Linked DNA regions of Neurospora crassa OR74A. The protein of the gene in region 1 purifies or fractionates together with the protein of each later gene. This does not show direct contact. Links are inferred from orthologs where the notes say so. Each region holds a gene or a part of one and is shown on either strand. Other genes may lie near its edges.

The links. Proteins that work in one complex are often made in the same cells at the same time.
Region 2: the proteins of crf8-1 (region 1) and ada-2 purify together in Saccharomyces cerevisiae (affinity purification with western blotting; 3 studies listed by BioGRID, with this or other methods). This does not show direct contact. The link is inferred for Neurospora crassa OR74A from reciprocal best matches to the Saccharomyces cerevisiae genes MOT1 and NCB2.

The regions. Positions count from the first base shown.
Region 1 is NC_026503.1:4,377,042-4,380,791, reverse strand, and holds the start of crf8-1 (TBP associated factor), read left to right. Parts: upstream 1-1,551; 5' UTR 1,552-2,138; intron 2,139-2,396; exon of another isoform or gene 2,397-2,473; 5' UTR 2,474-2,603; intron 2,604-2,976; 5' UTR 2,977-3,035; coding exon 3,036-3,064; intron 3,065-3,140; coding exon 3,141-3,750. Other genes in the region: NCU07555 (hypothetical protein), read right to left, coding at 180-292. UniProt on the Saccharomyces cerevisiae protein: Regulates transcription in association with TATA binding protein (TBP). Removes TBP from the TATA box via its C-terminal ATPase activity. Both transcription activation and repression require its ATPase activity.
Region 2 is NC_026501.1:1,662,239-1,665,936, forward strand, and holds ada-2 (CBF/NF-Y family transcription factor), read left to right. Parts: upstream 1-763; 5' UTR 764-1,073; coding exon 1,074-1,095; intron 1,096-1,613; coding exon 1,614-1,640; intron 1,641-1,919; coding exon 1,920-2,179; intron 2,180-2,259; coding exon 2,260-2,367; 3' UTR 2,368-3,434; downstream 3,435-3,698. Other genes in the region: NCU02016 (hypothetical protein), read right to left, coding at 3,615-3,659. UniProt on the Saccharomyces cerevisiae protein: Component of the NC2 complex which represses RNA polymerase II transcription through binding to SPT15/TBP and thereby inhibiting the assembly of the preinitiation complex.

The DNA.
Region 1 (3,750 bases):
CCTCGTTACCGCTCTGCGATTTGAGGTTGCTTCCCGAGTACCTTGGTGTTGTTGGTCACAAGATGGCGGCGACGGCGGCAACATCCGAACTGAATGCATGACGGGCGAGACAGTCACCAACAAGGGCACAGTACCGAGATATCCCCAATCATACGGCTTTCCTGATTTCGGAGTCTCACAGCAAGAAGCCGGCCGAAGCCTCTCTTTGATACGGATCAGGCACACGCTTGACAGATGATGGACCATGGGGTGCGTCGCCAGCTTGCTTATGCTGCACTACCGTGTACCGCATCATGGCTTCTTTTTCGTTTCGCGCCGCGCCATGACAGCTAGACAAACTTTTTATAAGGTTGTGCACATCTTCGAGTATCGACAACAGCGAGCCGACGCGGGTAGATAGATGATCTTGTTTCCATGGCTTCCCCACGAACAGTGACTGTACGAAGTGGAGTGCTCACATTTGATATCGTGACCCTGCACAGGACAGTAACATATGTGCAAAGTGACGGGTCGAGCCGACCCGGGGGTCTGGGTTTATATATTTATACCTACCACTACGTAGGTTGCTCTGCAGCTGACCCAAGCCGAGACCGAGACGAGCCCAGTCCTGGATGCGCGGGGGAAGCAAGAAGCTTACCAGCACTTGACTGCTTACCCCGTGGACAAAGGTCGGCTTTCTCGGGAAAGGTGAGGTCAAGACAGTCATCGGGAGTCGTCATATCAAGCCCAGGTCCGGAAACGGACGGGAGGTCGAGGGCCGGAGTACTTCCGGACGCAAACAAAAGTGTACGACTTCCGATATGTGACTGGACCGAGCGGGAGTTCTGGAAGACATCCACTCCGGCTGTAGAGCTAAGTAGGCAGCCCAGGCCTCGGACCGTGATGGCGGAGTGATCACTTAGGTGGGCCAGACGTAGGCCCTATGTCTCCTGTGTTTTGCAGCGCAGCCTTTCTGCCGGCTATTCGTCATTGGGTCGCACTGGGCTTTATCCCGAAGAGTTAAGGCAGGCAGGCAACTTGCAACGCATCTCCGTCATCCGACTTGACTCCAAGTGCATTCAGCTGGTGAAATTTGCCAATAGGTGAGATGGTGGAATTCCAGCAACGACTTATAGAAGCCTACTGTTAGCATAGTGAATGGATGAGGTGGACTGGGCAGACGTGTGAGGAAATGAAAGGGAAAAGGGAAAAGAATCAAAAGTCAAGTTCGAGAATGCAAAAGCCCTTTCGACCGTGCACCACGGCCAAACATGGCAGGGCCACAGGGCAAAGCTCAGGGCAAAACGTGATGAAGCTCAAAGCAAAAGCACTCCTTCCTTCTTAACTGGAGAAACGAACTGGGGCGTGAGAGCAGACAGCCAATCAGGGGCCGCGGTGGGCCGCACTTGACTGGGGGCGAAGAGGTGCAATTGGGGAGGCGCATGGATGGCAGGGGTACGATGGGCGGACGTGGATCGCGCTAAAATTTGAGAAGGGAGGAACGTTGGGAAGTGCCGGCTTGTCTATAAATTTACTAACCAATATTCTTTATAGACAGGCCGCTGCCCTCCACCCGAACCTCCCACTGCCCGCCATCGCCCATCCGACGCCCTACTACTACAACCTGCGCCCTGCTGCCCTGCTGCCCGCACGTGCACGACCCGACCGACGTCTCTGTTACCTACTCCAACCAAGCACCAATCCGGGCGACACCGTGACTGAACAGAACAGGCACAAGCACAGCACCTGAGAGAGGCAGCGCACATTGCGAATTGCCTGCCTGCCTGCCTGCCTGCCCTTCAACGTCACCACCTTCCGATACTTGGCTACTTGCTTTTTTTGTATTTCAAGACGCCGAGACCGGGAGTTGACCGCCTGGTCCAGACCCCTCCATACATATTACTTCGATACTGCGTCCCCCGCCAAAATTCCACGGACCACACGGACCACACGGACCAGCTTAGGCGGCCGCTAGTAGTCACCGTTGCACCGTGTGTGTTCTTCCAGTTGTGTGGTGCGTGTGTGCGTGTGTGTGTGTTTGTCTAGCGCAAGGTACCGGCGACCTTGGTTGGCTTGCATACTAAAGAGACTTGCTTCCCTTTGGCTGAACGGGGACACCCACCACCACACCTTGCTCACCTTGAGCCATTCATTGGACGGTGAGTCTTGACCTTGATATTTCATTCTTTCCTCCCACATATCATCTCATCACCACGACCATCACCACCACCACCATCACCACCACAGTCATCTCTCTACCTTTGGCTTCTCGCAGCAGCAAGTGTTGTTATTGTTACTGGCCCCTTCAACACACTCGCTGTCTGGCTTGAGTCATGCCATCCAATTCCCTTCCTTCTTTGCACTTCTCACACTGCCCATCCTGTCATTCTGTTTGCTTCTTTGGCGATGACCATGGACCATCACACACAATGCGTCAACTGTGGGATCAGATCCAGCAATGTGGCGCAAATGGCTAAAACCTGATATTACCTAGATCTTCTGGTAGAAACTTCTTTTTCTTCTCTCAACCCCACCACCACAGCCGCCCACGTCGCATACAAGAGAGTGAACCTTGTGTGTGTATTTGGGACTACAGCTTTGCCATATCTGTGGATCTTCCCAAGGTATGTTCACATACCGTACACCTTACACCTCATCACATTTTTGCCTCACTCCTCCTGTAACATCACTTGAGTTCAGAACCAGTGTTCTGTAATCCTTATTACCACATGAGGCCTTGAGGTTCATTATCGAGTGGACTGCATCTGCCCTAACCCTCTCAAGTCACCTCTCGGGTCTTGGCAGGGGGTTCACCTCGTCAACATCTCTTGTTGTTTTGTTGTCGTTCTTGTTCCACTACCCCTGATTGTTCTCCTCCCCCTCACCCCTTGCCTCGTCTTTCAACTCTCCTTGCACACTTCAAGAAAACCTCCAAATCTGCTCCGCCATCCCAAGATTAGACAAAGCTGGAAGGGTATAATACTAACTATCTTGCAGTGCCATGGCCATTACCCCTTATTAATCACATTAACACAGTCTACTGACATGAACAAGAGATGGCGTCTCGGCTAGATCGCCTTGTCACGTAAGTACTCTGTACTTTCTGGAGATTTGTGTTTTTTTTCTTTCCTGGACACTTGACTAACAATTTCCACGTGTAGGCTTATCGAGACGGGCAGTACTCGCCTGATTCGGGATGCTGCCGTAGATCAGCTCGCCACATGGCAAAAGGAACACCCCGATGAGCTTTTCAATCTACTCTCTCGGGTTGTCCCCTACTTGCGCCACAAAGACTGGGAAACCAGATCAACTGCTGCCAAGGCTATAGGCAAAATCATCGAAAATGCACCGCAGTATGATCCCAATGCGGACGAGGAACCCGACGCGGCGATGAAAGATGAAGATAGCAATAGCTTCATCAAGAAAGAAGAGGGCCCCCCAAAGCTCTCTCTTAGTGAGGAGGAGCAGTTCAGTCTTATGACTCTGGACGTTATCAACATTCTCAAGTACGGAAGGTCCTTGCTCAGAATTGGCGACAAAAGCGATTGGGGCCTTGCAGCTCTCGATCCACAGAGTCGGCTGAACCATCAGAAAAGAACGCTCAACGGCCGTCTGGGTCTCCTTGGACGTGAGTTTAAGGATGAAGAAATACCCGTCATTAACGACGCCATCCTCAGCCCTGCGACCCCTCTCGATCCAGCTGCAGCTAATGGCTTCGGCCGTCATGACAGTGTCGGTTCCGCCCAAACTCAGAACGGTGAGACGGCCGGG
Region 2 (3,698 bases), on another chromosome or scaffold:
AACTCCAGAACACACAAAAACACAGTAGTTCGTTTTCGATCAGTAGTGACGTTTGGCTTGTCGGTGTCTATCACCATAATTGTGTATGATAGGGGCGACACGAATAATCTCCTCATAGAAACACAAAACCACTGCGTTCTTGTGCTGGCGGGGAGAAGGGGAAGGTGTTCTTACCTATCATGAACATTGCTCGGTGTAACAATGAGCGGTCCAGTCAAGTGATCCAGCATGGAAACAGTGCAGTTGCCTGCGTGCCCCAAAGGAAGCGCATGGTGTCGCGACTGAAAGAAAGTAGAAGGGTGAGGGAAGGAAACGCTGAAGAAAACAGAAGTTAACGACGCGATGGATGGACCCCAAATTTTCTCGAACGGAACAACGATTTCGGCGGCAGAAATTTATGGTGGGGTCCCAGGTCACAAGTGGAAGGGAGGAAGGTACGGGTCCACCGAGCCTTCACTGTTGCGAGTGGGCCAGAGCCTGATGATGACAGTGACACTTGGCATTCCTTCACCAGTTGCGACCAGGTGACCAAACTATTGACCTCACAAAGCTGAGAGGCGGGGGGTGTGCGGTTCCAAACGCGCGCCAGACGACTCGGACGATTCAGTTTGATTCACTCACACAGACAAACCTGGAATGATTGAGGAACTGTGGCTGGTGCGCCTCTATGTACGACTCCGCCACAAACCCATGGTTGCCCCTGTGCGCGCAATGAACCAGGGCCAATCGCCCAGTTGCCGTTGGCGGCAGCTTCCAGGCCAGCCGCACTTGGGGTTTGGAGTGAAGGGAGCGGTGCCAATGTGTGTGTATAAAGGCAACCATCCTCACCGTGGCACCTCCGAGCTCAAAGGGAGCTTCGGCTCCCTTGACCATCATGCCACTCGACCTCATAAAGACTTCAAAACACTTTGATTACACCGGCCGCATATCTTGAGAGTTATCACTCGCCCAGGCAGTTGGGGGGTTTTGCATCATCAGCCACATACCTAGTCGATATCCGACCCCTCGAGGCATCAATATACACCATCCCACGACGACCCACGTAGGAGGCTCTTGTTTATCCACCAGCCAAAATGTCCGATCACGAATTTGGAGGTCCGTTGTCGCTCTGTATAACCTTTTGTTATGTTTCTGTTTTCGTTTTTGTCGGGGGGTGCAGGGGTTCCTCGATGACCATTGCCCATTTGCTTGCACCTAGGCACGGTTGAGTTGGCCCAATGATGAAGCCACTCAGCCTTACACTCAAGTTGAGTGGAGTGAATCTCCCTCATGAGTCCAAACCAACAACACTCCCTTTCATCCACTCCTTCTTCACTACCTATTGTTGAAATTCGAGTGAATAAGAAAAGGCATGCCACAATATACTGCAGGGAAAAGTGTTATGTATATGAACAACATGTTCTTGTACGACAGCCCTCTCAACCCCTTCCTCAACCGAGAAATGTGGCGATCATTCAGCCAAGATGGACGAATATTCCGGATACCGTTATGCATACGCTTCGGAGCCATGGATCGTCTCTGGCTCTGGAGTCTCACCACCTCCGAGTAGCTTGCTTTTTGATTCTTTCCTTTTCCTGGTTTATCATGTCTTTTTACTAACAAGGTTACTGTAGGCAATGATGATCTCTCACTCCCCAAGGGTACGTTAATTTTCAGTCAGGATACTGGGATGCCGTATCATCGAGAGATGTGGTGGTGGAGGATAACGCCAAGCAGTTGGGGGAACCAAAGGCTACTTTTCGGCTTGGTGAGCTGGTAGAGACGGTATCTTCTGGCTAAAGGAAGCCTATCCTCAAGCAAACGGAATATCGGATGGACCACCTTCACCAGGCAGAAAGAAGTCTTTACGTCTCGGGAGCTGCGCCAGTTGCTCAAGGTTGTGCAAGATTTCAAAGGGTAGGAGCTAACCTTCCACACAGCGACGGTTCAAAAGATTGTGAGCGAGATCCTCCCATCGTCGACTGGCCTGTCATTCGCCAAGGAAGCACGGGATCTTCTTATTGATCTCTGCGTTGAGTTCATCTCGCTCGTATCGTCCGAGGCGAATGAGATTTCCGAGAAGGAGTCGAAAAAGACGATTGCTTGTGATCACATCACGCAGGCGCTCGAGCGGCTCGGTTTTGCCGACTACGTCCCCGCCGTCCTAGAGGCAGCTGCGGAGCACAAGGAGGTCCAAAAGGTACTTAGAACGGTTATTATCTCCAGGTTCGGTTGTGTCTTTGTTTTCATTGGCGAAGCTAACACACATCAACACAACAGGGACGAGAGAAGAAAGCAAACAAGTTCGAGCAGTCCGGCCTATCACTTGAAGAGCTCGAGCGAATCCAACGGGAGCAGTTTGCCGACGCCGCGGCGCGACATACTTAAGAGGGGGGCAAAGTCGCGGCGTTGCCGACGCTTGTGCGTCTACCAGTGCCCGAGCAACAGCCGAAATAGCGGATGGGGTCGCCTCGGAAGCAGTAGAGGCAGAAAAAGAAGAAGAAGGTGATGCATCAAGCCGATGCAGAGCAACAGCCGAAAAGTGGGAAGGGGCGGCCTCGGGAAGCAGCAGCAGCAGCAACCTCAAGCCGATACAGAACAGCTCATCTCATAGCGGAACCAGAAAGGAGAGGCCCGGCTACAAACGGTTGAGAAGGCGAAGCCGGTTGGGAATGAGGACCACCAAGATCTGAGCGAGAGGAAGGAGGACAACAAAGAAAAAGGGAACAGTGACTGGGCTAGCTACATTTCTTGGCTAGTACGACCGGTGGAATTGCATATCAATGAGCAAGAGGTGGTCACCATCAGTCGGAATGAGCAACCCAAGGTCTCGGCGGAACTCCTTCCGGACAGATAGTAAAGGTCCGGGTTTGCCTAACGAAGCTGAGGCGTGGGGAACAGCGATAGTTGAAATCTGGAAGCAAGTCGGTTGGTACTGAACAGTTGGAGGAAGAAGCGAAAGTAGAGAGAGAGAGAGAGAGCCTTGCATTTACGTGGTTTTAAGTTTGTGTTTGTTGAAGATCGGGGTTGGGAATTTAGTTGGTACGCGTTGTATTGGGTTGGAGGGCTCTTGGAGAAAGAGAAAACCCGATCAGGGGGTTCTGGATTATTCTTACTTGGATGTGCGCCTTACACATGGATAGGTGTGGTCAAACTTTGGGGTGTTCTCGGCGTCAAGTTGTCGGCATAACCTCCTTGTTTTCGTAGGAATATTCAGCGAGGGTTATGGTTAATTGGTTGCGAGCGGGACATGTATGGTGATCATATATGCTTGAGCATTATGAAGCTACCATATTTGGATTTGAAGAAGATGAGTCCGAGTCTGCATCCTCATCGCAACTGGGTGTCAACCATGACCAGCTTACCGAGCCTTTCCGGCTCCCAAATACCACCATTAGGACAAATTGAGGTTGAGAAACAAGAATAGACTTTCAAGCTGTAAGGGGTGCGCGTGCAGTATTTTACTTTTCATCTCATGATTAACCAAAACGGCCCACGAGAACCGTTCATTGGAATCTAGGCGTATCTACAAGTGTCGTGGTGTGGCTTGGCTGGCTTTTTGGAGAAAAGCCATCCCATTCATGCTGCTTCCGCAGCAATCTTCTCCATCATGACGATAACAGAGGTATAATAATTTAGTAGCCTTCCTTGCCCCACTTGTTGTACTTCTCGTGGAGAGACTGCGGTAGAAATCGCTGTTAGTCAACCTGTTCTTTCTT